2 linked regions of the Rhinolophus ferrumequinum genome follow. The protein of the gene in region 1 interacts with the protein of each later gene in a pairwise test. Links are inferred from orthologs where the notes say so. Each region holds a gene or a part of one and is shown on either strand. Other genes may lie near its edges.

Region 1 (15,027 bases):
GCCAGTGTCCCGGGCTTTGGGATACCTCTCTCCTCCTCTCCCTTCCCACACCCGATCCAAGCCGGACTCTTCGTTACCGGAGCTGGAGATCTCCGCCCGGGGCGCGCCCTGCCCCGTTGGTCGCAGGGTCCGCAAGCTGCGGTTCCCGGGCTGTTGATTTTCCAGGAGGACGAGCTGCCTGTGTGGGTGCCCGCAGCCCTCGGATCCCCGGCTAAGCTTCGGAGTTCCTTCCCAGCCCCCATGGTCCTCGACGCCCTCTAACCGTCGCCCTGGCCCCTCTTCCGCGCAGCTGAACCCAGGGGACTGCGCAATGACCCGCAACCTGCACCTGCTCCTGGGGCGACTTCCCGCGCAGCGCAGGCGCCTCCTCCTCCCCCCAGGACCCGGTCTCCCCCTTTTCCTGTGTGGCCACGGACTGTTGAGTGAGGAGAGCCGCTCCCTTCACCACCCAGCTGGTACATAGCCACCCCCGTTCCGCTACACACACGACTCTGAGAGCGCTCCTCCTTCCAGGGATCCCTCTCCTCCCCACAGGCTGGCCACTGACAACTGTGTCTGAAGTGTGCCCCCTCCTGACGCGCCCCCTGACACCGCCGTCTCGGCCCCTCCCGCGTTCTGGCCGCTCCTACTCGTTGCTCCACGTTCCTTGGGGCAGAGGAAAGTCCTACCTGACGCTGCCGCTCCTGCGGGCCCCCAGGATACGAGTATGCCCTTGTGGAGCCCTTCTCTGCTTTCTTACGTGCAAGGCCCCTTGCGGCGGATCTGATTATTTTTCTGGCCAGGCCACACCGGTCACTGGATCTACCTCCGCCCCCCCAGGGCAGGCGGTGACCGGGGGGGGGGGGGGGGGAGGAGCACAGACAAACATGACCCAAGCGCCCAGGTCACTCAGGCCAATGGAACAGCTCTCCCTTCTTGGCTCAAACCGCAAAGGCTTAGAACGCCTACATTCTAACAGGTTCATTCTCCCCGGGCTTGCATTTTTAAACGTATTAACTATAAATGGATGACTTGGTCTACATTTAAAGGAATTCCAGGACTTAATGTTCACGATATGTTTCTTTTGTCTCTGCAAGGTCCCTCAATTTATTCCCTTTTATCTATATACTCCACTCCCATTTGCCTGCCCCTAGTGTTGGCCATTCCATCATTCCATTCTGTTTATCTTTTGTTTCTATGTGCTCTTGGCAAAAAAAAAAAAAAAAAAAAAAAAAAAAAAAAAAAAAAAAAAGTATTGTTTTGCAGGCATGGCATACATGCGGACATGGCATACATTTTAAATTTGTGTTAAAAGAATTGTATTATTTCTCATTCAGTTTCTTTTCAGTCAACGCTAGGATTTCAAGATCAATCTGTACAGCTCCTGCCCATTCTAACTGCTGCCTGCTCTCCACGGTGCATACCCACCATGTTTCACTTTTCTCATCTCCTGCCACCACCAATAACAGTGCAATCATCATTCTCAAATGCGTCCCTTCTTATGCAGCACTTCTCCAACGGTGAGCACATTTATCACCTGGGATCTTGTTAAAATGCAGACTCTGATTCTACAGGCCTGGGGTGGGGCTTGAGTCTCTGCATTTCTAACCAGCTCCCAGGTGAGGCCTATGCTACTGGTCCTGGGACCACAGGCCCTTTCTGAGCCTCTGTGAGAACTCATTTTGAGTTGCTGGGTCACAGGGTATGGGCGGATTTAATATGATAAGTATTGCCCACCTGCTCTCCAGTTTGGCTGCACTATCTTACCCCACACCAGAAGAGCAGGAGAGTGGAAGGTGTATATTTATGGGGGGAAAGAAAGAAGGCCTTCTGCATTCTCCTGCCCACATCCTGTTCCCCACTGTGTCTGGTCTGGGCCAAAATCTCCTCTTTCCCTTGACTGGAATGGCCCCGAGGCTCCGGAGTGATGTAGCTGGCCAGCAGTGCACAGCTAAGTCAACGATAGACCCAAGACGGGCATCCAGGCTTTATGTCTGGCACAAGTTTTAAGAACAAGCATGGGTCTTCCGTTAAGTTATCTTTACTCCATCGCTTTCCCTTTAGTCGCCTGTTAGGTGGACTAGGACTGAAATTACCTGGCCTTGCCACTGGCAAGTGGCTAGTGGCTAGCCTGAACGTGACTTCTCATCCCTAAAATGGAATAGTAACAGCACAGCTACAGTTTGTGGAGTGAGGAGACAGTCCAGGAACTTCACCCACATGCCAGAAGCCCCACAGGAGCCCTAAGACGGTTGTTTTTGCCAGTGTTTTACCCACGAGAAAAATGAAATTCAGGAAGGCTAAGCAATTTCCACCAAGGCCATGGAGCTAGAAAGTCACAACGCTGGGATTCAAATCCAGCCTCAGCTAATACAGCAGAACCCATGCTAACTATGAGGCTATACCACCAGCATGTGCTGCCTTGCCCTCACTACCAGGCCATATTTCAGGGATAATCACAAGGAGATGGGAAGGAAGGACTGTGCTTCGGGTTTCAGGCCCTGATGCTAAAGGCATCTAACCAGTAGCATGCAGGGGTATGAAACTCCACAGCAAATGGGTTTTGGCAAAAATAAACTCGGGTTCTAGGGGCTGGTCCCTAGGACTTGAGTATTTAAGTGGCAGGAGATGGCACTGTGGGTCTAAGGTTTTATTTAGGAGGAGGGTTTTTAAGGTTAGATGTACAGTGGGGTTAGGACTGGGTGGGAGTTGGGGAGGGTCATGAATTAGGTGGGGGTCAGAATGCAATAGGGGTCAGGTGGGTAGGTCTTAGCTGTGAGTAAAGCTGTCTATCCTGTGCCTTACTTAGTAATAGCTGATCACTCACTGTTTTGTTTGGAGGGTCAGCAGATGTGCAAACAGCCAGTACCCTGGGCATTGAGGATGCCACCTTCCAAGACCCTCCTGGTGCTGTGAGCAGCTTGCCAGGTCCATTTTGGAAACCATGGACTATGCTTTTCCCACTCACACAGCTGTGCAAGCATCTCCAGGCCCCAGTCCCAAGCATTTCACAATCAGAAGAGTCTGACATCTACGTATTTTGAGATTTCATGATACAAAACCTTTTACATCTTGTCCACACTCATCCACTGTTTACCAATGTAATTATATCTATGACGGAGCATTTCTCTGAATGCCTTGAGAAACTTCTTGATCTCTCTATGGCCTTCGGGGTCAAAAGACCTTTGAGTCTACAGAATGTCCTTAGAGTTCAGCACAATATCTTACAGATCTATGGTTTTTACAAAGTATTCCACACATAGATATTGTCTTTGACTCAATTCCACAAGGTTAGCACAGGCTCAAAAGAATTAATTAGCTGAGGCCACACATTGTGTAGGTGGGTGAAACGGGACTTCTTTGTTTTCCAGAACAGACCTCACGAAACTTAAAGAGTAGGTACTCTCTGAGAACCTCATTATACTGTTTGGCCCATTTCCCAGATTTGGGGATGTAGACTAAGGCAGGAGCTAGGACGTCTAGGGAGTGGGGAAATGCCTGGGCAGAAAGATCTGGGAGGTGAACTAGTTGAGATCTCATGGGGCTTGTGGTCAGTCCTCTGCCAGCTAGCTTTCTGTCAGTGGGCCCTTTCTAGAGCCTGGGCAAGTGGAAAGAGGCGGTTGGTGGGAGGAATGGCAAGTCCAGGAGTACCTAGGTAGAAGTTCTCAATGAGTCTGAAGCTGAGACAGCTGCAAGAAAAAGATGCCGCTAGTTGCTAAGGGGGCCCCAGTGGTGTCACCACACCCACATGGGAGTTGTTGGTGGCTTGGCTAACTATGCCCCTAGTTAAGCCTTCTTCCCTGTCCCCTCTCCTCAAAGCCCCTGGCCCTCCACACCCAGTACCTGTAGCATGGGCTTGAGGGAGGTGCCCAGAGGTCAGGCCAGTCTACCCTGCCTGCTCCAGCAACAGCACGCATGCCACAACCAGTGCTAGGGACCGGGGGTCTGAGCCTGCTAAGGCAGGAAGGCCCTGATCCCACTGCCCTCCCTCTCCCCTGGGCCTCAGGCCCTAGGCCAGGGCTCAACAGACACAAGCAGCGGGATGGGGTTGCCCTTCTATTGGTCCAAATCCTGAGCGTGGCCTAGGTGAGACATGGAGGTGAGGAGGCCCACGAGGCTTAGCAGCGTGGAAAACAGCAGCAGGAAGGAGGCGGTGAAGAGCAGGGCCGGGAGGGCACTGAGCACCAGCAGCAGGACGGCGGGCAGCAGATGTCGCCACGCTGCAGCCACCACAGGCCACAGGGAGCTCAGCAGATGGGAACCCGTGGTGAAGAGCGCGTGACATAGCATCAGTGCCAGCAGCAGGTAGAGGATCCCTTCCAGACCACAAAGCACACGCTGCAGTGGTTGCCGCCAGCTGGATGTGGCCCACCAGTGGGTCCAGCTCTGGGGCACGTGGGATGCACACCAGCGCAGCCAACTCTGTCGCGAGACCCAGGCCGACCAGGGCACCGCCCGCTGCGGCCCCTCACCGGCCCCGATGGCATCTGTCTCCATTTGCGACTGCTGCATCATGGCTGGTGCACCTGGGGAGAGGCCAGGCCAGCTGCAGAAGCAGCCTTGGATATGTCTGGGACCTCAGGGCAGGTGTGGGTGCAGGAGTCAGGTGGGCACCAGTGTGGGTGGGGTGGGGCTTTGAGCTGGGGACTGGGTCTTACCTCTGGGCAAAGCCACCTAAGTCATGTTGCTTCTTGTAGCTCCCAGGACGGCCTGGCAGCCAGAGATGAGTCCCCTCTTTCCCTCATCTCCACCCTCCCAGAGGAGCCCATTGTGACCTGGTCTAGGGTGGGGTCCAGCCAAGAAAGGAGCCATTGCAGGGTGCGAGCCTCATGCAAGCCCTTCTCTGTGGACCCTTCAGGCTGGCAGAGGAGCCTGGGGAGTCAACAGACGTAGTTTGTCATGCTTTCTTGTGGGAAGCCCTCTTGGATATCTGTCTGTTCCCTGCTGGCTGATAGCCAGTCACACTCTGCTCTCTCGCAAGTCTTTCTCTCTGGACCTTCATTCTTTAGAACCACAGAGGAGGCCAGAATGGCCAACCCCAATCTGCAGGTTCTGAGATGGCTATCACTTCCCGCACTGGGCAACCTGTGCCTTATCTCACCTTCTATGGCTGCTTTCACATTGTGGGGCTGGAGGTCCCCTGGGGACAATGGGTTACCCTCCCACCCTGCCAAGCCCACGATGGAGAAAAAGAGGAATGAGGCAGCACTATGGCCAGTGTATTTCTGGAGGGCACTCAGGCCCAAGGATGGAGGCAGAAAGCCAGGCCAAGCAGGGCCAAAGGCACCCCTCAGGCTCCCAGGAACAGCCCCAGGCCCAGGAGCAGCAGGAGCAGAGCTTCCTGGAGGCAGAGTTGTCCTGTGACTGCCACCATCGGCAGGAGTAGAGCCTCCTGCCATCTGGGACCCTCACCAGCCCCCTGACTCAGGCCCCCTGTGAGAAGTGTGTGCTGTGGCCCGGTGGATCTGAGGGCCTGTGGAGAAAGAGGGCAGCAGCCGGGCTTTGGGAGATTGACCACTTCCTCACCTGCCCATGCCTGCCCATCTGCCAGGCTGCTGCCCACTTACCTGTGGAGTAGGTCGAAGGCCAGGAAGCTGACTAGTAGCAGCAGCAGCAGCAAGGCTGGGCCAGCCGAGGAAAAGACTGCCCAAATTGTCAACCCCAGTGCCCCCAGCCCTAGGACACTGTCCATGAGCTGGGCTGGACTAGGGTCCAAAGAGGACATACATGGACCCACTGGATGACCCGATCCCTCTCCAGCACCCAGGCCCCTGGGAGGGACAGGGATAGGATAAGCAAGGGCTTTGGGCCTGAGTGAGCAGAGCTGGGTCATGGAGGGAGGCGGAGGTTACAGGAAGGGGCTTTGTTTCCTGGGAGGGAGTATGGGGGTGGGGTGGGAAAGTGGGAAGGGGTGGAAATCACTCAAGGGTGAGCTCAGGGAGTGGGGAATGGGGCTCATGGGGAATCTCCCCCTCCCCACACGCTCACCCACCCAGCCCTTCTCACCTCCTCCCACTTAGGTCAGCCATTCTGGGCCTGACAGCTGGGGCATTGTGACCTCTTGCCAGGTGGATCCCTGAGGTAGGGAGTGGCTGCTGCTGGTTCTGGCCTCATAAGCAGCTGGGGCTTAGCCAGAGGAGGTCAGTGATTTCTGAGAACCAAGACTCAATCTCTTGCCTCTGCTAATTCTCTGCCCTAGGGCCCTCCCTTGGGGATCTGTGTTGCCAAGAAGGCATCTAACCTCATCACCACATGGGCAGCTGACCAAAGGAGGAAGGGCTGCTTTCTTTTTCCTGCAGGTTCCCAGAGCTGTGTGTCCAGGGACAAGTTATTCAATCTTCCTGTCTAATGCTCTCTTCCCTGAGAGTAGGGTGATGCCTGTGAGCTCTTGTGGGGGATTTTTTTCAGTATTACAGTCCTGGGATACAGAGATAGACTCTGTCAGGAAGCAAACCTGAGGCTTTCTGTGGCTGGGCTCCCATGTGACCTGCTACATAGGAATGGGGCAAGACGGGGCTATTTAGGCATTCTAAGTAGTACCATGGTTTGTGGGAGGTGTTCCAGATACTGGGATTCCAGAAATGGCATACAGGATATGAACGTAAGAGGGCTACTACATAGTAACCCCCAAACTGGAGGTTAAGGTTACCCTCTGAGAATGAAATTCAGGAAAATGAACATGTAATGAAGGGATTGGTCGTCTGGGAAAGAAACCTACCCCCACTGATAGTCTGTAACTGGGTGATGGTTCCAGAAGTTCCAGCACATCTTAGTTTAGTGCCTTGAGAGGCAAGAATGGAAATGGGTCATAAATGAGAGAACTTAATCCTTGTCCACATATCATATTTTGAAGGAAAACTGATGGGGGCAGGTAGTGAAGACAGTGGCCACACAGCTGCTAGGAGAGGAGGAGACAGAGTGAGAATCAGGCTGCATATCTATCTCCAGTGGGCCTTGTCCAAAGACTCAAGTTTGGCAACGTTGATATCTTTGGTGGTGATGGGCTCAACAGCCCATGAAGCTAATGCCACTGACCCTTGGGACCATTCTTTGATTACTTTGCTCTGGCTCTTGCCAAAGCAATAAAGAAATGCCCACAAAATTCTGAGGGAAAATGATTTCCAACCTAGAAACGTATATATGCCCAAATGCATACCAAGTGTGAGGGCAGAATAAAGACATTCTAAACCATACAAGGTCTCAAAATTTTGACCTTGCATGCACTGTTTCTTAGAAAGTTACTGGAGGATGTACTTCAGGAAAACAAATAATTAAGAAAGAAGAGAATATGGGTTTTAAGAAATGAGGCCAAACACAGGAGAGGTATGATGAGAAGGGCCTGGGATGTCAGCTGTGCTCCCAGGTGGGAAAACAAGCAACTCATCCTGGAATCAAAAGATAGATGCTTTTGGATCACTTCATCATCCCCAGCAGGGATGTCTCCAGAAGAAAATAAAATGATTATCTGCTGTTTTTAGACATATTCAAAATAAATGTTCAGTTCTGTTGGAAACTTAGAATTGTATTAGCAATTGGTGCCTTTAAGACCCAGCAAATGATAAAACAAAGTAATTACTTTGTAATTATTACAAATAAATATTTACAAAGAAAGAATTACAAAGTAATTATTACACAAAGTTGAACAATAATATTTACATGGTCATAATATAAGCACTGAATATAGAATCCAGTGATTTAGCTCTTTTGGGAAAATGGAAGGAGGGGAAGTGTATGTTTGTGTATTTGGGTATGTATGGGTAGAAGGGTGATAAGAAAGCTAAATCCTTAATTCCACATTAGGAATTCCACAGATAATGTCTAAACATCAAGAAATAGCAATAGAAGCGTAGAAACAGCAATAGAAGCATAGAAGTAAGTACAAGGAAAAATAACAAAAAGCATTTAAAATGGTTGACTTGGGAATGGAGAAGCATAGAAAAGTCTATTACAAGCCTAAATGTAATTTACCCCTAAAATTATATTCCATAGTATTTTGATAAAAATGATTTAGTTAAAAATAAAAAAGCAAATCAATGTAGGTTCATATTGTTGAGATCAAGAATATACCCTCCCAGGACGAGTGAAATGCCAATTTCCTAATGTTATGTGGATGTACTCTTGTGGCTTGAGATAACATTTCCAGTGACAGCACCAAACACCATCAAACTCAGAAAGCTGTGAATCTTATGCATTTTAAGTGGAGGCTTTAAACCTCCAACTAGAGCTTCTCAACCTTCAATGTGCACATGACTTCCCTGGGATGGAACTGGTCAGGGATTCTGCATTTCTAACAAGCTCCCAGGGGATGCTGATGCTGTTGGTCCTTGGCCACTCTTTGAGAATGAGCTCTAAAAGACATTGATGTACAAAAGAGAGACAGCTGGGGAAGATGATGGTGAAGGGAGGATGGACATGTGGGAGGTACCTCCCTGTGCATCTAGGTGCCACGGGAGTCCCCATCAATACTCACCTGCATCATAAGGAAAACACATAGTGGGTAGTGAGTTCTGTCTCAGCACCAGGAACAGGAGGTTAGGACGCACAGGCAGGTAGTGGATTCCACTAGTACTTCTCTATTTGTGAAGCCAGACACATAGCCTCCTTTCTTTTCTTGATTTGTTTTATTCCATCCATGTATGTGAGAACAAGTGCACCGTGTTAAGCTGTTTTCTCCACCTTTAATTCATCAGATTAATTTCAGGGCCCCTTGGAACCACATATTATCTCATTTCATCATCATAGCAATCCTGGGAGGAAGATACTATCGTTCCCATTTTACAGATAAGGAAACAGAGGCTCAAAGAGGTGAAATTACTATCAAAGGTTACACAAACAAAATAAATGATGGCAGATGTGAAATTAAGCCAGTGTGGCGCCAAAGTCATGTATCCTCTCCACCCCCAACCACTGGACCACACCGGGGAGCGGCAGGATAGGCCCAGCCCATCCCTAGTGACTCAGTGGTGCTTTGCAATGTATCTTCACCCTTGTGAGGCCACAAAAGGTTCTCCACCTGGCTCCTGGGGCTAGAGATCTGGCTGTGCAAGTACCTACCCGGGAGCAAACCTGCTGCTGCACCCTGGGAGCTGCTACCTCCAGAACCTGCTTCTGGGCTTGGTGGCTTTGCAGCCCCAGGTACCCAGTGGTAAGGGCCAAAGGCAATAACCAGGCTGGGAGCACAGAGGGGTGTGAGGGGATGAGGAAGTTATAAAGGGATGTGAGAAGGTGCTGAGAGGTTCAGGGGGCTGAGAAGGGTGCAAAGAGGTCCTAAAGGTTGCCATAGGGCAGAGAGGCAAGGGGTACAAAGGGATGAGATGAGAAGAGGGAGGGGGGCACAGGGTACACAAAAGGTATGAACGTCCTGCCAATCCCAGCCCCGAAGGGATTGGTGGAAGGTGGCCAACATGCTCCACCCTGCCAGTCCCTTTAGTCTTCCAGTTGATGGTCTGCCATCTCCTCTCCCGCAAAACCTGGTGCTGTTGGGAAGGCTCAACTTCCCTCCAGCCCTGCTTGGTCCCTTCTAACCTCGAATATATTATACACATACTTTTTGAGCACTGACTAGGGACCAGGCACTTTTCTAGGCCCTGAAGTGTAGCTGTGAACGTTTGGGTGCAAAAGCCTCTTTTGGAGGGTTACTTACCTCCTGCTGTGTGGGGGGAGGGCACAGTAAGCACATAACAAATAAAACAAGATAGTCTCAGATAGTTTTGATTGACTTGAAGACAATACAATAAAACAGGGTGAGAGGATAGAGTGTGTGTAGAAAGGATGGAGCTTACTTCCATCAGAATGGTCAGGAAAGGCCCTTGGAAGCAGATGACATGGAAAGGCAATCTAAATAATGATGCAAACTTGGTGAGCCAGTGCAAAGGCCCTGAGGCTGAATGGGGCTGGTGCATTGGAGGAACAGCTAGAATGTCTGTGTGGCTGGAGGGCTAAGAGCTAGAGGTGAGCATGGGGAAATGAAGTGGGAAGGGTGTGGGTGGAGAACCTTGTCATGAAGGGCCTTGCAAGTGAGCCCACTAGGGTTTTAAGCCAGGAGGAACTTGACAGGATTTAGCTGCTGTGTGAGATCCGACTTGGAGGGGGTGGGAGTCTCAGGAGGCTGAGATGTCTTAACCCCCCTACCCCTATCTCCCCTTCATACCCCTCTGCAAAACTTGGATGAGCTTGGGGGCCAGAGACAGGGAAGTGGCCAGATTGGGCTTTGGCAGGAGGCGGCAGCCCACAGGATCTGTTCAGACCAGCTTCTAGCTCCACAGGAGCCTGTCCTGGCCTTCCACCTCCCCCACCCTCCCCTTGCAAAGCCTTGCCCTTCGGTACCTTCTTCATTCTGCCCCTGACTCGGTCCTGTGCTTTAGGGAGCCTCGGCTTTGGCGCGCCTACCTTGAGTTTTTCTAAGTTCCCCTCAGGCACCTGGGACCTAACGGTCCAGGAGCGGCGCTCCAAGGCAAAAGAGGGACCCTCGTGGGCCCTGTCCCCGTTACTCCCTTATCGGGAGCTCTCTACTCAGAGCGCGTGGGGTGGACCAGATGCCTGAGGAGCTCCAGGCTGCGCGGTGATGAAGTCGCCCGAGTTGGTGGTGGTCTCAGTTCCAGGAGCGCGGGGCAGTATTTCTTTCCAGAGATCCTGCGAGATGGTATTGCCAGAATGGCGCTGAGACGCTGACTTTGGGTGATTCAAACTGTTTATATAGATAATGGCCCTTGGAAAAATACTTGCTCACGGCTCGGCGTCCTTCAGAGGATTCCTGGCCACCTCTGGACATCGCTTCTCACACGGGGATGGCAGTATCTCCCTGCGAGTTCCTTTCAAGGTCCAAGCATTGGCCAGAGGCGCATATTGGATGCATTTCCTTTCTTCTGGGGAGGCGACCCTAGCATGGGGGAGTCAAAGAGGTCTCCAGGGGATGGGCAGGGTCCTGCGCTCTGGCTCTGGAATCTCGGGATGAGTGTAGTCCCGCGGACAGAGACCCAGGGCTGCCGGTCCCGGGAGGAGAATGAGGCAGGGGCGGTAAGAAAGGGTAGAGGGAAGGACGCCCATCAAGCCTGAGCCCATCCACCCCGCCCCAGCCCGCTGGGTATCGGCTGGGGCTTCTCTTCTTGGATTATGTAACACCAGAACGTGGCAGCCGGGTGAGCAAGGAGGAGGGGAGGGGAGGGAAAAGAGAGAGGGGAGGCGGGGCTGGGGGGGTGGTGGTGGGACGAGCCGCCTCTGGCTGGGCCCCTTGGGCTGTCTGTCAGACAGATTCCTGGAGGGCCAGCCCTCCTCCCATTCCCCAGCCCACCCCCGCCTCAGTTTCCCCGCATTCTTTCTGTCCTACCCGCCTAGGTAGATAGCCTCTGGCTCTAGTTGGATGTCCCTCTTGGGTTGTGGTTTCCTCCCCGAGAGTTCCCAGCTTTGCTGTCTTGGCCATGTCGATAGCCGTTCTGAGCCTCAGTTTACCAGTTTGTAAAATGAGGTTGGATTGAGAGGCCACGTGTAAAAAGCCTGGAATAGTGCATGGCACAAAGTAGGTGCCCACTACAGGTCAAAGCGCCTCACTGAAATCCAGGCTGCCGATGGGCTTTGCGGACTGTGAAGGGCGGCCCAGGAGGGAGGCCAGAGAGGGAGGGGCATGGACGGTGAGTGCGGTGACCTTTGGCAGCCCGTCGGGGGTCCGCCAGGCTAGCTCCGCCCCCGCCCTCCCCTCCCGGGTCCGAGGCCAGCGAGCGGGCTGTGGGCGGGCCGGAGGCCTCAGGGGGCGTGCGGCTGCGGCAGGAAGGGGCGGGGGGCTCCGGAGCAGTCGGCAGGAAGAGACGAACCCACCGACCGCCGGGGCCCCGCACATTCCCACCTGTGGACCTCGCCATGTGGGGTCTCCTGCTCGCCTTGGCCGCTTTCGCGCCTGCCGTCGATCAGGGTCTGGGGGCGCCCGGCAGCTCTCTGCTGGGCCTTGCGCCGTCTGCGACCACCGAGGCCCGGATCTCGACCCCGGCCCCGGCCCCGGCCCCGCGTAGCAGCCCGGCACAGCCGCCGGCGGGAAAGGATAACGGTGATCTCCCGGCTCTAGGGCCCACCTCTCCCTCAGGTCGGTTGCCCCACCACCCGTCCCCTGTGTGACGACCCTTCCCCAACACACACACACACACACACACACACACACACACCACACACACACACTCTTTCCGCCTTGTGCAATGGATGCTGACTCAGCAGTCCCAGTTCCAGGCCAGACCAAGTAAGTCAGCAGTCCTGGGCCCGAAGCCAGTGAGATGCTGCCTCTTCCAGCCCCAAACCTTCCCTTTTCACAGATGAGGAAACTGAGACCAGAGCCAGGAGGAGGGGAGAAAGAGGTGTGGACAAAGGCATTGACGCTAAGAGATTCAGAGCAAGACTGTGTAGGAGAGAGCTTGAGGGCAGGGGCTAGAAGGAAGGAACTAGAGAAAGAGAGGGAGAGCACTGAGGCTGCCTGGAGGAATGGGGTACTGTCTAGGGAGGGATGGCAGTCAAGGAGGGCTTCTCAGAGGAGGCAAATGAACAATGTTGTTGCTCACAAAGAGTGAGTATCTCTGAATCAGAAGAGCTGAAGAGGAGGGCAGCCAAGAAGAAAACCATATGTTTAAAGGCACAGGGGCACCAGACACGTTCTGGAGGTTCCTTTGGAGATTGGGTGGGTGGGAAACTGTGGCATCTGCCCTGTGCAAGGCCCTGTGCTGAAGAGTGAGCAGGACACAGGCCCAGCCCTGGGAGGCTTGAGCACCCCGGCAGACATGGGTTTGAGGACAGGATATCACAGCCCAGAGGGCAGACGCAATAATGGAGGTGGCACTGAGACTTTTGGAAACTGAGCCTGGAGCTAAGGAGGGCTCCTCGAAGGGTATCTGAGATGTGATGAAGAATGGGAATTTGGCAATAAAATCAGAGGTGGTGGGTGGTATAATGGGGAGGGGACAGCCAGTGCAAAGGCCTGGAGGTAAAGAACCAAACGCAGCTCTTTGGAGCAATCAAATAGTTTCTAGTGGCTGGGTGTAGCTCTGCGTTGGAGAGGGTCAGAGGAGGCTGGCCGAGCATGTGGTCACGTCAGGAAGGAGAAGGACCCAAGGAAATGACTGGAGAAGTAGGTTGGGTCAGACTGTGCAGGCTGTTAAGTCCGTGCCCAAGTCTTTAGATACTTGTGGGGCTTGCTATGGGCTTACAGGCATTCTTGGGCTGGCAGACTTCTCCATCTGGCTTTTTAATTCTATCCTTCCCTCCCCTGGTGCTGTGCCTTCCTGGTCCCCAGGGACCTCACAACAGCACGTCCGGATTCGCGTCATCAAGAAGAAAAAGGTTATTATGAAGAAGCGAAAGAAGCTAACTCGCCCCAGTCCTCTGGCGACTGCCAGGCCAGTGGTGACCACCAGTCCTGCAGGGGTCCTTGATCTCCCCAAGGAGCAAGAACCAGGTACCACCCTTCTAGGGGCTCTGCCTAAATTTGCAGCCCCTGGGGCACATAGGTACTAACCTAACTCTTGAACTCATAGGCACAGGCACAGGCACGTCCCCAGCCTTCCCCGTACACGGGCAAGCATAGACTCTGCTTTCCGTCTGCCCTGACCACTCTCTCGCTGGTCTTGTCTCACGGCTCTGTCCCTTCCCCAGGCTGTCCACCTTTGGGCCTGGAGTCTCTGCGAGTTTCAGATAACCAGCTTGAGGCATCCAGCAGCCAGTCCTATGGTCTTGGACCACATCGAGGACGGCTCAACATCCAGGTCAGCACCCTGGCTCAGAGCAAGGCCACCCCTGGAACCTTCTTCCCCCCATCTTGGTCCACCCCATACTGCCCACGTGGGCCTGATCACCATGTCCTCTGCCCACAGTCAGGCCTGGAGGATGGTGATCTGTATGATGGGGCCTGGTGTGCCGAGCAGCAGGACGCTGAGCCGTGGCTTCAGGTGGATGCTAAGCACCCCACTCGCTTCTCAGGCATTATCACCCAGGGTAGGAGCTCTATTTGGAGGTAAGGCAGGCTAACCCAAGGCCAGGAAGTCATGGGCAGACTCAAAAGGGCTGGGGTGTGGGAGTCCTGAAGGCTACCGATAATCTCCCCCCACTTCTCCTTTCAGGTATGACTGGGTCACCTCATACAAGGTCCAGTTCAGCAATGACAGTCACACCTGGTGGGGGAGTAGGAACCGCAGCAGTGGGATGGACGCGGTGCGTGATGCAATAGGTGGCTGGGACCCTCTATGCTGGGAGTTGGGCATCCAGCCCAGTGTAGGGTGCTGGGCTGGGCTGGGCTGGGCTGGGGCTTCTCTGGGCATAAGGAACAGATGCCCACTTGGGCATTCCAGGAGAAAAGTGATTGTTGTCAGGATGGGTGGGGCCACGCATGCAGCCTTGGGAGCCAGGCTGCTTTGGAACATGGCTGCATTCCCCCCAAATACTTCTTCCATGGGTGGGTACCACTTCATGCCACAGCTTCCTGCTGGAACACCCCTTCTAACAATGGGTTTCTGGTCCTTGCATCACCTCTCACCTCTCCATCCCATGGACCCCTTTATACAACAAGCTAATGTGTGGGGTCCTGGCCGACTTTAGGAGTGGCTGCTCCTGAGTCACATGGCCATATTGGTCTAGTGAGCTGTGACTCAGCCAGAAAGCATGGCTGCCCAGGGCTGCCCTTTGGCGGGGCTATGGGCCAGGGTCTGTGTTTGACGCTGAGTGCAAGTCTCCAGCTGAGCCCACCAGGGTGGGTTTGTTGGGGAGTTTGGAGGCCTGAGCACCTTCCCTGAGTCCTGGACCGGGATGCTGGGGTTTGAGCAGCCTCACCAAAGGACTTGATGACCCCAGGTATTTCCTGCCAATTCGGACCAAGAGACACCAGTGCTGAACCTCTTGCCTGAGCCCCAAGTGGCCCGCTTCATTCGCCTGCTGCCCCAGACCTGGCTCGAGGGAGGCGCATCTTGCCTCCGGGCAGAGATCCTGGCCTGCCCAGTCTCAGGTGGACAGTGGGACAAGGGCTGGATGGGCAGGTTATAACCTTTACTGTGAGCTCACCTGTAGAGGAGGGTAACATGAACT
Region 2 (16,879 bases), on another chromosome or scaffold:
CTGTACTCAGAATACCTCTGGGCTGCCCTGCCCCCACCAGGTAGGCTTCACACCCCTGTAGCTGAGCTCAGAATGCCTCGGGGATGCTCTGTTCCCTCTCCTTATCTTAGAAGATCACCCTTGTAGATGCTTGCTAATTATAAACTCTATTGCTTAACATTTTCCCAGGTTACTCCCCCACTGTTCCCGGACCACTGGTGCCACAAGAGATCCGACGACAGAGGGAGGCATCATGAAAGGAGAACAGACCTGCGGGATGTCATGCAGCCTCTGGGAGAGTGCCTTGATTTTCCCTTAAATACCCCCAGCCGGTCTGAGAATGTAGGACAGTTTTCCTAAGGCGTTAACCCGCTGCCTTCTCGGACCACCAGTGCTCTGATAATAAACGCTTATTCCACGGCCCAACTCCTGTGTCAGTCTATTGGCTGAGCAGTGCAGGCAACACGAGCCCCGGACTTGTTTGGCCTCTGGTTACAGTTATATATTTTTTAAAAGCCCTTATTAGTTATAGATGCACATAAGTGAGAGGGCTGTTGTCTGGGGCGTGCTTTAAAACACTCTGGAAAAAAGCTGGGAGTGTGTGATATTGTCATATAACGATGATACATATTTGGTCTTCGTCCCAGTTTCCTGGCACAAGTGCTTCTAAAACCCTTGGAATATCTTAAGTGATAGGGATGAGAAGAGTATCTTTTGTTATTCATAGTAAGCCCCTTTCAACCCTACCTGCCTTTACGCTAATGAGGTGACTCCTAGTGAGGCCCTCGATAGCTTCAGGAACATGTCTCAGAAATATCCTCCTGTGTGTGTCTGGATTGTTTACAGCCATCTCTGATTATTTAATAGGGATCTGTAGGTCCTGTATTAACCCAAACATGCCCTTCTACCCTGCAGCATTTAACACCAAAGCTATTGCTCCTAAATTAGTCCATTTTAAAATGTAAAGGTTCTTCAGGAAGCTGATGATACAAAATGAAGCAGCTCCTCCACACTATATCCCCTGGTTTCAGTGCTTTCTTTGTTTTGCCCTCCTCCCACGTTGACTACCTCCTTGGTGACCAAAGGCCTTAGAGGTACTTTCTGTTGTCCCGGCATCATTTTTCATTTTGTGGACAGCTTTGAGGCAAGTGGCCAAAGCTTAGACTGATCAAAATCTGAACTTAGTCTAGTATGAAAGTCCAAACCAGAACTATTTTTTAATTGCATTTTAGTTATTACAGATAATAACCAAGGGGTTGTATGTTGCATTTTTTCCTTAGTAGTTTGCATTTCCTTACTAGTGAACCGACTCCTGGGAGTTGGATCCAATTCCAAATTACATTTGTAACTTTTATTTGCAGTAACTGATTGCAGTACCACTGCTGTTCCATACCGTGGTGACCATGTGACCACCCAGGAACCAAAGGTTCCTTATTTCCCACCCTTTCATTCTTTCTCTTCCCAAACCACTTATTTCTGAGCCAGTATCAGTCTAGCAAATCTCACTTCTGACATCAGCTATTAGCCGTTTTTACTACCAGCACGTCTTACACCAAATTTATGGGTTATTTTTTCCCCATAGCAACCAATTCTTCAACTACCCAGACACCACCTGAGTGTCCCACAATTTAATCAATTCTGACAATAAATACACAGAGTGAGTTTAATCCTACAAGACTGCCCCCACTTCAGATGCAATCCTAAATCCTCAACCTCCCGTAATTCTGAACAACCATTCTGAACAACCGACTATAAATTGGGAGTTACAATGACGCCCGCCTCCCTTCAGGTTCGATAATTTATTAAAATAGCTCACAGAACTCAGGAAAATAGTTTACTATTTGGGAACCAATACTGTAGTTAGACTTAGCTAGTTTGCAGTTTAACTCACCACATAGCCTGCTATCTAGCCACCTGTAATTAAACCTAGCCAGTGGGCAGATAGATCCACCCTGATATTCAGCTACTTTCTCTTTGTTTCTCCCCTCACTGATTAATGAAAGAACTCTGGTTTTTCCCCCTTTTCAAGACTGCCTATACTTCATTAATCCAATTAATCAACCGAATCCTAACCTGGAAAGGGCAATTTCTTAATCTTCAGGTGACCATACACCAGAATACACATAAAGCCCTAGGCCGTGGTGGTCCAGTCAAGTCTGGAGTCCAGAGACAACATTATCCTAAAACAGACCAGACCCCAGGAAGGATGTCAGCCCTCTAGACCTGCCTGACTGACTCTCCCTTTCCTTTGTTCTTCTTGTGAATCTATAAAACCTTCTGCCCGGTCTAGGAACGGGGAGGTGGCCTTTGGGCAGGAGTCTGCCATCTTCCCAGATGCCGGAATTCTGAATAAACCTACTTTTCTTTCCACCAAACTTGTCTCTCGATTTTTAACTTTTTCAAGCAGCATGCAGCTGGACCTTAGCACGGTATCACTATTACTGTTTATATATATATATATATATATATATATATATATATATATATATATATATATACACACACATGGGATACAACTCAGAAAGAACCAAATGGAAGAGATGCATAGGGCAAGGTATAGGGAGCAAGGGTGGTGTGGAGCTTCCATGCTCTCTCTAGGTGCATGCACCATTGTAATGACGAGTGGGGAAAAGAAAAGGGAGGAGCACACCAGAGAGGGGCTAATTGATTTATTTAGCAATATCTAATCAATTTATTTAGTAAAAGGCAATAGCAAAAGACAAAGGCAATTAATGGAATGTGCTAATGACAGAAAGTAAAGGTGGTTAAGACTAAACATGACATTGATAACAAAGTCATGTCAAAAGAGTACACATACATACAGGTTTAAGAGATCCCAACATATGTTTACTACTGATCAAAAATCACTTGGCTAAATACACAAATAACATCAATAAGGAGTATCCAAAAGCAGTAAAAAACGCTATAGGATAGCAACTATTAGAGTAGACGCCAAAAGCTCAACAAACCTTAGGAAAAACAACAGTGGAAAGGTCAGGAATCAAAACCTTGACAGGTCTGCAGCTGGGAAAGGTGAGGTGTCTCCCACTGCGGCTTGCTAATTCCCAAGAATGTTGCTGTTGTTGTTGGAAATTAGGGCATTTTCTGATGCTGTGAACTGCATACAAATTTCTAAAATGCTAACAATTTCTCAAGAATGTTGCTGCTGTTGCCATTGCTGTTGTTGGAAGTTAGGGTGTCTCCTGATGCTGTGTCATGCGGGACAGCCTGCGGGGTCTCTGCTCCCGCTCCCCACATAAGAACGCAGGACATGGTGAGGCCAAACAGGAACACCCACGGAGCCATAGGTAGGGGAGTCATACCACTATATTCTCGCTGGTGGCTGGGTTGGAGACACAAGAAGCAGGAGCCACACTGTTCGCAACCCTCACTGCGCCGCTTGCAGGCTCAGCCACCATCTTCTTGCTAGGCCCCATTTTCTGCTAGCAAAGCCATGGCAGTTATATTAGTGGCCCATGGCTCACTGGTTACAGCTGACGGCCAACCAGCCACAGCTGACGGCCGTCTACTACCCGAGCCAGCACCCCTCCACGTGAGGCCGAGAGCCTGGAAACTGCTCTCTGGGGCTCTGTCCCCACATGCTGTAAGCTGCAAGCTGCATACAAATTTCCTAAATGCTAACCAGTTCTCAAGAAGGCTAACTGTGGGAAACAACACTGGAGAGGTCAGGAACCAGCCAGACCTCACAGGTCCGCAGGTGGAAGTCAGGGCATCTCCTCATATTGTAAACTGCATGTTGTATATGAGTTTTCAAAATGTTAGAATGATGAAGATTTACCAATGACAAAATGACGAAATTATACTGCCAACTGAGGTCTCTCTTATGTATTTTTTCAGATGTACCTTAGAGCCAAGCTCCTTGTTCCTGCCTCCCACTCAGGAAATGGCCAGTTCTGGGAGGATCCGGCAGTTACTGTGATAAGAATATTGCTTGTCCAGCTGAATGGTCAGTTCATTCGGACAAACAACACCTACTGTTCTCGCCTGGGACCATCAGCCCAAGGCCTTCCAAAGCCTGGCAATGTGCCTGTCACGTCATTCTGATATAACTTAGTTACTTCTCCACATCATCTGCTGATGTGGGCAAAACAGACAGAAAACAACATCCTCCTATATCTCTCCTGCTGGGAACGAGATGAGGGAGAAATTTTCTTATACCTAAGCTAACCAACACCTCACATGTAGTCTCTCATGTGGGGAAACAAAGGAACAAAAATTAACAGACAAAAACTCACATCAGCTAATGAAGTCAAATTTTCCTCAACATCTTCCCTACAACCATCCTCAGCACTTCAGTGTGTTCACTGAAGTGAAGCTCTCTGAACCCCATTAGGTGGGTAGAGGTTTTTATGGCCGTTCCATTATGGAGGCATGACTGATTAAATCTTGGTTATTAACTCAATCTCCAGCCCTTCACCTCTTGGGGAGAGGGGATTGAGAGGTGGAGCTGAAATTTCCAGCCATCTAATCACATGATTGGTTCCTCTGGCAACAAGCTCCCCCATCCTGAAGTTAAATAAGGGCTTACCTAAGGCACCTCATTAGCATAAACACAGGTACTGTTGAAAGGAGTTTATGAATAACAAAAGACACTCCTATCGCTTAGGAAATTACAAGGGTTTTAGAAGCTCTTGTGCCAGAAACCTGGAAAGACCAAATATATACCCCGATGCCGAAAAAAATGTATGTAAGTGGACACTTTGGTCAGTGTTGCTTGAGCAGAAGTTCGCCATAATCAGAAGTGTCTGGACACTGATGGTAACCACTCTGAGCACCTCTTGTAATTGCAGAAGTCAAACATGACTCGTATTCATCTTTTGTTATTGGTATACATTGAGTATTACAATTGTAATAGTTTTTTTCCTTTCTGAAATGTGTATACATTTTTTGGCACGCTCTGTATTTCTTATTACATCGCAGTATCACTGATAATACTAAAACGGGGAAAATGTTGATAATTGTTGAACTGAGTGATGGGTACATAGGACTCATTATACGAAGTTTCTGGGCTTTTGTGAATATTTTGAAACTTAGATAATAAGAGAAAGGCAGAAAGAGAAAGAGGCACCTTATAAGCCATACTAAGGCGTCTGAACATGATTTTTAACTTTCTATTTTGAAATTATTTTAGATTTATAGATGAATTGCAAAGATATTAGAGCATTCCCATATATCCTTCACCCATCTTTCTTTAATGTTACATCTTATAGAATCATGGCATATTTATCAAAACTAAGAAATTAACATTGATAAATACCATTAGCTAAACTGCAGACTTTATTGAGATTTGTCCTGTTTTTCCACTAATGTCCTTTTTCTGTTCCAGGCTCCAATCCAGGAAACTGCATTGTATTTAGTCATGTCTCCTTAGTCTCTTTCAATCTGTCAGTTTGTTGGTCTTTCCTTGCCTCTCATGACTTTTGAGGTGTCTCCCACTGCTGCTTGCTAGTTGCCAAGAATGTGGCTGCTGTTGTCGTTGCTGTTGCTGTTGTTGTTGGAAATTAGGGCTTCTGAAGAATAGTGGTTAGATATTTAGTAGACTGTCCCACAATTTGGATTTCTCTGATGTTTTCTCATGATTATGTAACAGGTAAAACACTTCTTTCCCTGACTCCACCTTAATTCCAGCTTGAATCTCTAGATACTCTATTTAACTGGAGGAGTTCTGCCATAGGATTGAGTAACTTCTGGTCAGACTGTCTGGGAACAAAGAGATTTGGAGATTTCCCCCACCCCCTCCTTGGATTGCACGTCTTGCACTGTGTGTTCTCCCTTCCCTTGACATAAGAGAAGCCTGAATTCTGGGCTTTCTTAAAATGAATTTGAGAAAACCAGAAATCTCCTTATCACCATTTCCATAATAAACAAAACCTTTCTTTATTCCAAACTCTCATCTATTGAATATTAATTATTTGATGTGCCAAGCACACAGACCTTGTGACTGCAACAATTAGACTGAGATAATGGATTTTTAAGAAGACTACTACAGAGGGGATGTGGCCTTCTCATTGCATCATGTCAGGGAGCACATTATATTAACATGACTTATTATTTATTTAACCTTAATCACTTGGTTTAGGTCAGGTTTCTCCACCATTTTTCCTTTTCTATACTTAGTGAGAGTCACTAACTCCAGCCCACACTCAAGGGGTCTTTAAAAGCAGAGTAAAGTCACTGAAGGGGTTTGAGGAGGGGGTGTAATGTGTTCAAACGTCTGTTTTAGATGCAATATGCTGGCTGAAATGTGGAGATGAGTTTGTGGTGGAGTTTGCAGTGGGATTGGACATAAACTGGTGGACTGAGTGACTCTAGCAGTCTGACTCAGCAGGAGTGGGTTCTTCACTGAATATGAGTAATGAGAGAAGGTGGAGTGAGGGATGGCCTCCAGGTTTCTAATTTGGACAGTTGGGTGGCTGGGGCCTTTCACTTAATCTAAACCTAGGGGTCTGTGTGCCCCTAGGAGGTTCCATGCTTCCCTTGACCCTCAGTGAGAAGCTACTTTCTGCTTTTTGTTTTGCCTTAGGGCAGGTCCCTGAGGGTTACTAAAGTCTGAAAATGACTTATTCACATATCCACTAGAAATAGCTTGGGAATACCAAGGAGGGTCAGAGTCCCAAGTAAAAGGGGACAGCCACTGAGGGACTGAAAGAAGCTGGAGGAAAATAAGTCATCTCTAAATCCTTTTCTCCCCTCCCAGATTAGTGACCCAATTATAAGCGTTAGACTCAGTGGTTTCAAACAAGCAATTTTATTTATCTTTTCTGTGTTCTGCCAACCCGCATCACCCTCGGCCTTGGGTGTTTTGAGTCTCTTTCGGAGTGCTGGAGCAGGGTGCTGGAGCAGGGTGGACTGCTATCTCTCAGCCCTCACCTCCGCCGGCGGGGCCCCCGCCCAGGTTTCTTTTCTCCTCGGCGCCTTCGGGCTGGGGCGGGAGGAGCGGCAGGAGTTGGGACTGGAAGCCCGGGCCCGGGTGCTGGGCGAGCCCCACTCCCTTGCGGAGGTTTGTAGACCAGGTGGAAGACAAAGGCATTGCAGTACCTGAGGGGGGCGTGGCACGGTCAACTGCGGGTTTTGTGCTCCCCAAGTTCCGAGGCGTGGGGCTAGACTTAGGGCTCAGCCAGCCAGAGGATAGGAGTCTTTTGGGGATGGGCGAGGAGATGGAGAGATTTTGTGAGCTGGACCTAACTAGAGAGGCGTGTGTTAGGGTTGTCGAGACCCACCAGGGGGGTGGTGAGTAGTGGGGACAAAGAAAGTGGGTGGTAGGGCTGGGGCAAGGAGGGTCCCAGGAGATCAGAGGTGAGGGTTGGGGTGGGCCATTTAGTATGCACAGCCAGAGAGTTAGAAGTTAAGGGTCAGGGAAGAAAATAGGGAGGGTGGCGGGCCCTTACCAGGGCATGCAATTGTCGGCCGCTCTGAGGCGAAAAGGGGAGCGGAAGGGGTTGGGCTGTGGAGGGCTGGTGCCCCCTCCTGTGGCCACTGCCATGGTCTGCTCATCCATTACACAGCCATACTCGCTACTCTCGGTGAAGAAGGCTGGCACTCGGAGGGACTGGGGGGGGGGGACAAGGGGGCGGCCTCAGACACTCTCGTAGAGGCTCCTTTCCCCAGGGACATCCCGAGCAGGAAGGGTCGTAGACTGGGTTGAAAACTGAGGACCTAGATTGACCAGAATGGGGGAGAGGCAGGAGGCAGACACGGAGAGGGCCAGAGAACCTGTGGGCCACCCCAGATCTGTGGAACAGATAATGGGAAGCAGAGTCTTTCAAGAAAAGAGGAGGGACTGGACAGGGAGGGGAAGGGGGGGAGAAGTTCCCTTTTGCCTCATTACCCACCTGTAACCTGGGCAGTGAGCTCAGCCAAGTGTCCTTGAGACCAAAGCCAGAGTTAAATCCTGTGGATAGAGGGGGAGCAGGGAGAAGCGGGCTCCCATGGTTTTCTTCTCCCACCTTCGCCACACTCCTACCCCAGGCTCTTACCGATAACCAAGTCAGGCTTGGGCCCCTGGAGCAGGTGGTAGGGCCTTGCAGACACTTTGATCTGCAGATCCCTGCGGCCTCCCTTCTCCTTAGTCCCAGAGCTGAGCCGTGCTGATACCCCAGAACCAGGACGGACAGATACTTCGGGGCCATCCTGGGGAGCCACAAATGGGGAGGAGAAACCACTGGAAATTAGGGTACCGGAGGAGGCAAGACAGGGGAAAGAGGAGGAGGGAGCAGAAGGGCAGGTCCCAATCGGGACAGGAAGAGGATCAGGGCTGAAAAGCGGGACCCCCCTCAGTCCTTACCCTCTGCAGGGTAAAGTGCTGCTGGTCACTCTCAGGAGGCAGACCATCACCCACAAACTGCAGCTCTAGGGCCATGTGGGGGAGCAAAACCAAGAGCTCCTAAAGGATAGAGAGGACAGATTTGGGTCCTCCCCACCCCCAATCCACCTTCACACCCGTATGCCCAACCTTCAGGTCTAGAGAGGCTTACCCAAAACACCATAACAAGGTCAAATTCCTTCCCGGCCTCCACCACATGGATTTTCAGCGACTGTTTGTTCTGGATGTTGAGCTCAGGGACTGGATGAGAAGCTAGCTGTTTAAGGATATGGTTTCCCCCCTCTTCCCTCCTGTCCCCTACCAGCTTCCTGTCCCCCTGCTTCAGGCACCCCTCCCGCTGCCTCCGCTCTCCTTACAGGACTGCGGTACCAGGTGGGTGATGACGTAGTACACAGTCAGTGGGTAGGTGAGAAGCACAGCCATGGGGGAGTCCAAGCTGAGGCCCCGCCATGTGTAGTAATCCTGCCATGAGCCTGGGGAGAATAGGTTAGTGGGGGACCTGGCCCCAGGCCTGGACCCCAACCCCTTTAGTCTGACAGCCCTCTTTATCTCAGCCGCCCAGACTGCTGGCTCTTCAGTCCAGGTCCCTACCGCCAGTTCCTTCAGGGACCCTCCAGCTCACCAAAGAGGCCCCTGGGTGGATCTGGGGGCACAGGGGGCATCAAGGCAGGCCCGTCCTCCTGGTAGGGATCTCCTGAGAGAAGCTGGTAGGGATCTCCTGAGAGGAGGAAAGGAAGAGGAGCCTGGCATCAGGGAGACCCACACCTGGCCCATCCCTTCTCCCTTCCAAAGTTGCTGTTTTCCCTGAGAGAGAACCTGGAACTGCAGCAAGAGGAATGGGGCAGTTCTTAGGGATGGAGTTTCTGGATGGGGTGACTTCTTAGAGGGTTGGGGAAGGGACGGAAATGTCCCTGGTGGTGGTAGTGGGTTTTAGTGTGTGTGTATGGAGGGGTTATCTGGGACCCGGACAACTTTTTTCTCTCCCATCCTTTCCTCTAGTCTGAGAGGCCCATGCCTGAAGAGAGGCCCCACACACCATTGAGAAGAAGGCTGAGGGATGGTGTGCTACCACGGGGGTGCCTGGGGGTGCCAGGGCCTGGAATCAGCATGCTGATCTGGGTCCAGTAGCCACGAGTGAGGCCCCGCGCAGCCAGGAAGGCCTCCTTGTTGAAGGTTTCACTGGTCACCTCTAGAGGAGGAGAGTGGTTGAGGGCCTAGTAACTTTAGCTCTCCTCAGCCTCTCCCAAGGACCCTGGGTCTGAGTCTACTCAGGGAGAGAGCTAACGTTTCTGAATGTCTGTAGTATAGTAGGCATCCAGCCTATAGAATTCTTATAACAGTTCCCTGGGGACATTTTGTTGGTATCCCTATTTTACAGACGAAGAAAGGAAGGTGTTAAGAAATAAAGCGATAGGTTTATGGTCACCGGTTAGTGGTAGATCTGGGAAGAAAGTGTATAAATCCCTACTCCCAAATCCCCCAAGCTCTCCCAGGGACCTGGATGCTCAGTTCTCAGCTCCGGAGACCCTGTCTCTAGGGGTTTGTCCTCAAACCAAATACCCAGTACCCGGCCCTTCTTCCAGGGATGCAGACTCCAGCTCCAGTACTTAACCTTCAACCCCAGGACCCTGTTTCCAGACACCCAGGCCCCAGATGCAAAGACCTGGTCCCAGCTTCCCCTCCCCATCCTGACCTCCTTGTGGTACCTGCAGTGTAGGTAAAAGGCAGAGTTGCCAGTTCTCCTGCCCGCTCCATGAAGGCTGCAAGCCTTGAGCACCAAAATCGGTGGCTCACATCATCTGGGCATCGCCGCCAGTCGGCCCGGAGACAGGCCTCTCCACAGTACAAGACAGCACTACATTGGGGGCTAGGGTCACAGGGGGCGGTAGGCACTCAGTGTTAATCTGTGTTAAGTCCTGTCCGCTGTCCATCTGCCCTGCAGCTGCCCAGATGTCACTTGGTCTTTTTGTCTGTATTCTCTCTGCCTGTAACAGCTTGTTGTTTTCTTTGTCTTATTTCCCTCCTCTGTCTATATGCAGGGTACCCCACCGACCTGCTTTCTCTCTATTTGCCTGACTGTTGGGGTCTTCCTCCCTTTCACTCCATCTTTGCAGGCTGCTTACCAAGGTGTCAGCTTCACTTCAAAGCTGTGCCGGTGACAAACATGGCAGGTTCGAGCTCGAAGAGAGGCAAAGGTGAAGTCTGGCTGGGGACCCCATGTCCGCATTGGGGTCTTGGCTAACTTCACACCCAGCCTTGGGATCAGACTCTCCAGCTCTCTGAATGGGGGTAGAGAGGGCATCAGGCTAAGGGACTCAGAAGTCCAGGCCCCCCAGGCCTCCCCACCCTCAGATACTACATTTCTGTACCGATGTAGCTGGGCGTCTCCCACAGTAAGCTGTCGGGGCCTTCGAGGGTCTCCAGAGCCCATGGGGCAGGCCATGCTGTGGCAGAGGAGAGCATAGGCCCGAGGAGCCAGATTCTCTGTCCCTGAGCCTCTGCTTGCACTCCCCTGGGCTCCATCAATTAGCAGGTCAATGCCCAAGAGGGTGCCATGTTCATCTGTCACCAGTAAGAGGCAGGAAAGGTGCAGGGGGACAGCTTCTGTGAAGAAGGGAAAAGTCAGGGGTGGGGGTGGGAAAGATGATCAAGGTCAGGGGTACCAAACTCAAATGCCTTCAGGGGCTAGGCAAGTAAACTAAGTGAGTAAAGGTAAAGAAGGTACGCCTCACATGAAGGGGACAGGTACTGCATAGTACCAGCATTTGCTGCCCCGAAGAAATGTGGGTCTGCTGTCAGAACTTTAGATTTTTCTTGAGAAGGTATAACTCCAGACTTCAGGAGTTTTTTTCTTTCAATGTTTAAATATTGGCTCAAATTGAAAAAAAAAAATTGTGGGTCAATGAAAACAACTTTTCCGGCCAGATTGGCCTGAAGCCACACGTTTGTTTGTGACTCCTAGCTGGGTTCTGAGTGGCAGAGCAGGGCTTCAGAGGGGGAGCATGCCTGAGCAGGGGACAGGACAGGGCCAGCCCTGGGTTCTTACCACTGCTTTGTCCCTTCCTCCTCTCAGGCCTTGTTTCGTCTTCTGCCCTGTCCTCTCGGCAGCCATCCACGCCACCTCCTGCCTCCTGCTCAGCCTCCTCTGGCTCCCCTGGAGGATTTGATTCCTGGGGGGACTCCCTGCTGTTATGGGCTGGCTCCCCATCCTCTTCAGGTTCTACCTTCTCCGTACCTGCACCCTCCTCCTCTCCATTCTCTTCCTCTTCCTCCTCCTCCCCTTCCTCCAGGCTGACAAAGCTGACATAGGGACTTAGGTCTCGCAGGTGGAGTAGAGGTTCGTCTCCCAGGAGCCTGGCAGCCCCCAGGCCTGGTCCAGGGCCTGGCTCTGTCCCATGCCCCAGGCTGATGCCCACACTACGGTTGGGCAGGACATGGAGCACCCAAAGGGCAGGGTCCTGGGGCAGCCTTCTGATCTGGGCCTCCAGCTGTCGCCAGCGGCCCTCAACACTGGCGCCCACAGCCCCTCGCTCGGCCACGAACTTGTGGAACCAGCCAAAGAGGAGGGCAGCGAAATCAAGGAACTCATCCCGGTATCCAGACACAAACTCCATGTCTTCAGGGGCACGGGGCCTGGGCCCAGACTAAGCAGAGAAAGGGATATATGGTCAGGGAGAGAGGGTGGTGGTGAAAACTGGGGCTGGGTCACAAAATAGGGGCGGGTGAGTTTGAGGGTCACCTAGAGTGGGATCTATGGATGAGCTGAGAAAAGGGTTTTCAGGCCTGAGGATGGGAGTACAGGGATGAGAATGGGGGTTAGACTTGAAAGTGAGCTATTAGGGTTAAAGATGTACTCAGGAGTGAGATGGTATTTGAGGCTCAAAATTTGAGGCTCAGACTTTCAAAAGCAGGGTTTGAATTGGGATAGAGGTGAGGGAGGGCTAATCCTATCGGGAAGGATTTGGCAAGGAGCGAAGAATTTTGGATCCATCTGTGGGGTGTGGGAGGAGGGACTAGGAACCAGAGCATCCCTTCTTCTTGGATCGGTGAGCCCCAGTAGACCTAGCCCCTCCGGGCCTCTCCACTACACTACTCCGGTACCTGCAGCCGCCACCACTTTTCGAAGGTAAATACCTGGGGGAGGGGGCGGTCGTGACGTCAGGACTGCCGAGCCCACCGCCAGCCCCTCGGGTGGCCACGTCCCCGCGAGTCGGCAGCGTGTGCCCAGGTGGCCCTGGCCAGCGTCCGTGCGTCTGGGCGCGCGGACTCTCCTGAGGGCATCACCCTGGCCATGTGACTGAACCCAGCTGAGCCAGGACACCGGCTGGGAAAGTGAAAGCATCTTGGAGGAGGAAGCGGCGGTAGCTGCTCACCCATGTCACCGGTCCCGAGGACCGACCTGGGATGGGTGAGATGGTGGGTGGGCATGGCTGGCATCCCTGAACCGCACCGAATCGGTCGGTCGGGTAGCTGCCCTCTTGCCTCGCCTCGCCACCCGAGTTTTCTTTCGCTTTCTTCAAACATTTCTGGCTAACTCCTCGACGAAGGCACCGGGCCCATCCCGGGAGAGCGGGCGAAAGAGCTCCGCCTCTGGGGGTTTCCTAGTCGCCTGAGGCTGGCGGCCGCGCGGGGTGGACCGTACTGATCACGCTGTCAGTTCGACACGCTGCGAGCGCGGGTAGGGAGGGAGGGCGCTGTCACCTCGCGCCTCCTTCTCGGGGGGATTGGACTCCCACGGCCGCTGTCTCCCCAGGAATCTCAGGTGGAGCCGGGGAAAGAAGCCTTAGATAAACCAGGCGGACGTCACCCTCCGGAGCCTGTCCAGGAGTCTGACGGGCCAGGCGGCCCGAGATGAGGCGGGGTTGGGGACCCCAGTCTCTCGCGCTCCTGCTTCTTCTGCTTGCGTATCTGGCTCGGCAAGGTTCGTCAGGGGTTGGGCCGGGACCCAGATATTCCAATCTGGGAAAGAGATTGTGTGTATGCAGAGCCGTTAGGGCTGCGGGATTGAGTTGAGTAACTGTGGACCAGCCGTCCCAGCGTCCCCAAGGCAGCCGGGGCAGGGGGAGGGTTAGCTGCCTGGAGCTGGGATCAGGCTGGGGGAACATCTGGGCCAGGTACGACTATGAACGTCTTTGGGTGTGTGTGTGATGTACGCGTTGAGACTGGGGGTCAGACCACCGGGTCTCGGGGTCTCGAGGAGAGGCTGTATGTAATAGGGCAGTGGGTTGAAGGCTAAATAATAGCTAGGGGAGCCCCTTGGCCTGGGAACCTGTGCTGACTGCTGACCGCCTCTGTTCCACTCAGGGGATGGCAACGAGGGCAGCAGCGCGGGAAGTTGTTCCTGTAGTACAACATATTCTTCCGGATCCCCTCCAAGGGCCCATATTATGGAACATCTACAAAAACAACTGAAAAGTTATGAGCGCTGTCCTTTCTTCATCAGGTAATCTCACCCACCCTGGAGGGCAGTGCCTGAGCACTCTCTCCCTGCCAGGTGACTCCAGGACCCCCTCTGATCAAATCTTAACTCCCTCTGGGAGGACCTACCCCTTCTATAGGTGATCTTGCCTCAGTTCCCCACGCCATTTCCCTTTTCCATCTACCTTGGAATTCCCCGGGGCCCTTCTGATATGGATCACTCTGGGTGGTGACCTCAGGTCTTTGGAATGAGGAAAGAGCTGGGGAAGATGTGGGTGCAGGGTGAAAGAGAAGCTGAGACCAGGTCCTTCCTCCACAGGTTCCACCTACCTCAGCGGACTGTATGTGGGGGCAGCAAAGACGAATGGGTGATTAAATTGGTGAGCTGCTTTGATCACAAAGGTGAGAGCTTTGCCCCTTCTCCCCAGCTGTCTCCAGGGCTCAGAGGCCCCCACCTTTCAATTTTCTTTGCCTCATCCATTTCCCTTGTGACAGTTCACATTCCTATTCTGAGTCTGGCCAAAGTACTTTCACTTAAGTCCCTGTTTACCAAACATCATTCACCACTACTTTCATGATTTTTGCCAATTCATCCTATCCCCTGTGCTATTATTTGCTGTCTCGTCCAGCGCAACACGGGCAGTGATGGAATGAGAAGGGGCGGCATTAAGTTAAGTTTTAAGAAAGAAAAAAACAGAGACTTAATGCAGTTAAATCACAGAGGCCAAGGATCTCGCAGTCCTGAAAGACTGGAGCGCAGAATCGGGCCGACTGGTGGCTTTTATTGATTATGCAAGGAAATAAAAATTATTTTATCCACGGTCTGTGAAACTCATACATCATGTCACAAAGGTGACTCAAACCAATTATCCCAGCAGGCAAGCAGCTGATGTAGAAAGTCCCATGATGGCTTAATTAAGGTATGTACCCTCCTGGGGACAAGTCTCTCATGATAAAACTTTGTTGCTGAGCTAAACAGGGAGAGCTGACATTATCGCCCTCCTAACTTCTCTCACAATCAGGTGAGAGGGAAAGCCAGTGTCGGCAGTGGCTCTCTTTGAACAGGGGAAAGAGACAATGCCCGTCTCCACATTTTTCATGGTAGCTCATGGGGGTCCCCACATGGTTCCACCTGTCTTAGATTGTCTCTCCCGTGAGAAATCTTACGTGTCTTTGGCTGACAAACCATCTTTTGGGGGCCAAGCAGAGAGACCTGAGGTGCAAGCACAAGGATGAAACAAAGTCTCAGAAAGGCACAGTCTCACAGACTTCTTTCTTTAGGGAAAGGCACGAGGGGACAGTTGGCTAGGCTGCTGCGTGACAACAATTTGCTTAATATTTTTTTTGAAATCAAGGCACTATGTTTATTTTCCAATATTTTATTATGGAAATTTAAAGACATATAGTATACAAAAGTGGAAAGAATTGTAGTGAACATGTATATACCCACCACCTAGATTCTACAATATTTGATTTTTATGTTTATATCTTACATATTTTGTATATGTACATAAAGCAAATATATTTTATATTTTACATTGTCGAGTTTATGGCATTTTAACTATATTTGCTTTATTGCACATCCATCTGACTATCCATCCCTCTATCCATCATCAATCCACCTTATTTTTTGATGCATTTCCAAGTTCAGGCATGACTATACTTCATCCGCATACATTTCAACAAGCATATTATTAAGTAGAGCTCAATATTTTATTGTTACTTTTTTCTTTTGAGGTAAAATTTACACACAATAAAATGAATAAATCTTACATATACATAAGCCATTTTGGGAAAACTCAAATAGCACTGATTCTAAGCAATAATACCTGTGAAGTCACAAATTTGATGCACTGGTTGTATTTTTCTCCTAAAATAAATATACAACCCTTAAAATACAAAATGTTTTCCATGTTCCACCTCAAGTTGTCTGGTGTAGCATTAGTGGTATGTTTACTGCTCTTTGGGCTTCACAAACGTACATAATTTCATTTAATCCTCCCAGCTACCCTGGGCCTTGGTACTAAAATTATCCCCACTTCATAACTGAAAGAAATGAGTTCCAGAGAGGTTAAGAGCCAAGGTCACACAGGTATTTTGCAGCAGAGCCAGGGTGCCAACCTAGGTCTCTTTACTTCCCAGGTGAGAATCCACTCTTGTCTCAGTGGTTTCATGTTGTGATTGGCTCACTTTCTTCTTCTCCCTCCTTTCCCCAACCCCCTGCTTTCCTCTCCTGGCCTTCAGCTGTTCTCTTGATGTTCTCCTTGACCCACCACCCTTCCCTCTATTTCTCCACCTTGTTCCCGCAAAGCCCTGATTCCTCATTTCTTGCCTCTCCAGAATGTGGACGTGCTAACTCCAAGGGAATGGTGCACCAAGAGCAATTACCTTCCCCCAGCACCCATGCTCCTAAGCCCACTGAAAGGGCACCTTCAGACATGGGCACCTCTGCCCAGCCGTACCTGCCACCCATCCTGCTGCAGTATACCCAGCAGCCCACCCTTCCAGCGGGAGTACTGCCCTTGAACAAAAACCTCACCCACGCCAATGAAACCACTATTTCCTCTGTGGGCCACAATCTGGAGGCTGGTCATGAGGCTGGAGCAAACCAGAAGCAGCTAAAAGAAAACGTGGGTCCTACAGCTCAGACATCAGCTATGGTACCAGTGCTGTCCCTCTTGGGCATTGTCTTCCTCCTCACTGGAGTGCTCCTGTTTGTGCTGTGCAAGAGAAGGAAGCAGTCACTGCAGCGCTTTCCAGGTAAACTGGGCCTTTGAACCCCTCCCCCAGGGACCAGCAGGAATCCTGACCCCAGTAGCTCCCATGTGGCTGGAAAACTGCCCCAGGCAGACAAATATGAAGACTGTCTGCACCATGCACCACAGGTCATAAGAGAAGAGTTAGCCAGACTACAAAACGGGGAGGGAAGCCACCATTGGGTCAGGGACCAATGCTTGGCCTTCAAAGCCAGGCAGTGCTTGGAGCAACATCAAGAAGAGGGCAGCTGGAGCAAGCTAGTGGGAGGTGGGAGCCATCCATTGAATCAAAACATCTTTACTGAGCACCTACTGCATACCAGGTTGTATGGTTAATGTTTTAGAGTCTGATTTCCCAGTTCAAGCTATTACTGCCCCCCCC

Evidence for each region.
Region 2: the proteins of TMEM239 (region 1) and CXCL16 interact in a two-hybrid assay, tested with the Homo sapiens proteins (2 studies listed by BioGRID). The two-hybrid records come from large-scale screens. The link is inferred for Rhinolophus ferrumequinum from reciprocal best matches to the Homo sapiens genes TMEM239 and CXCL16.

What each region holds. Positions count from the first base shown.
Region 1 is NC_046306.1:24,993,889-25,008,915, reverse strand, and holds TMEM239 (transmembrane protein 239), read right to left. Parts: upstream 4,982-15,027; coding exon 4,945-4,981; intron 4,720-4,944; coding exon 4,651-4,719; intron 4,557-4,650; coding exon 4,036-4,556; 3' UTR 3,914-4,035; downstream 1-3,913. Other genes in the region: C23H20orf141 (uncharacterized protein C20orf141 homolog), read right to left, coding at 5,270-5,444, 5,547-5,812; CPXM1 (probable carboxypeptidase X1), read left to right, coding at 11,833-12,052, 13,247-13,408, 13,606-13,715, 13,824-13,963, 14,070-14,160, 14,797-14,947.
Region 2 is NC_046304.1:12,480,042-12,496,920, reverse strand, and holds the start of CXCL16 (C-X-C motif chemokine 16), read left to right. Parts: upstream 1-12,602; 5' UTR 12,603-12,731; exon of another isoform or gene 12,732-13,076; 5' UTR 13,077-13,174; coding exon 13,175-13,244; intron 13,245-13,627; coding exon 13,628-13,766; intron 13,767-14,060; coding exon 14,061-14,143; intron 14,144-16,081; coding exon 16,082-16,501; intron 16,502-16,879. Other genes in the region: ZMYND15 (zinc finger MYND domain-containing protein 15), read right to left, coding at 6,867-7,038, 7,389-7,549, 7,833-7,891, 7,977-8,130, 8,285-8,383, 8,475-8,563, 8,680-8,796, 8,946-9,041 and 5 more. UniProt on the Homo sapiens protein: Acts as a scavenger receptor on macrophages, which specifically binds to OxLDL (oxidized low density lipoprotein), suggesting that it may be involved in pathophysiology such as atherogenesis. Induces a strong chemotactic response. Induces calcium mobilization.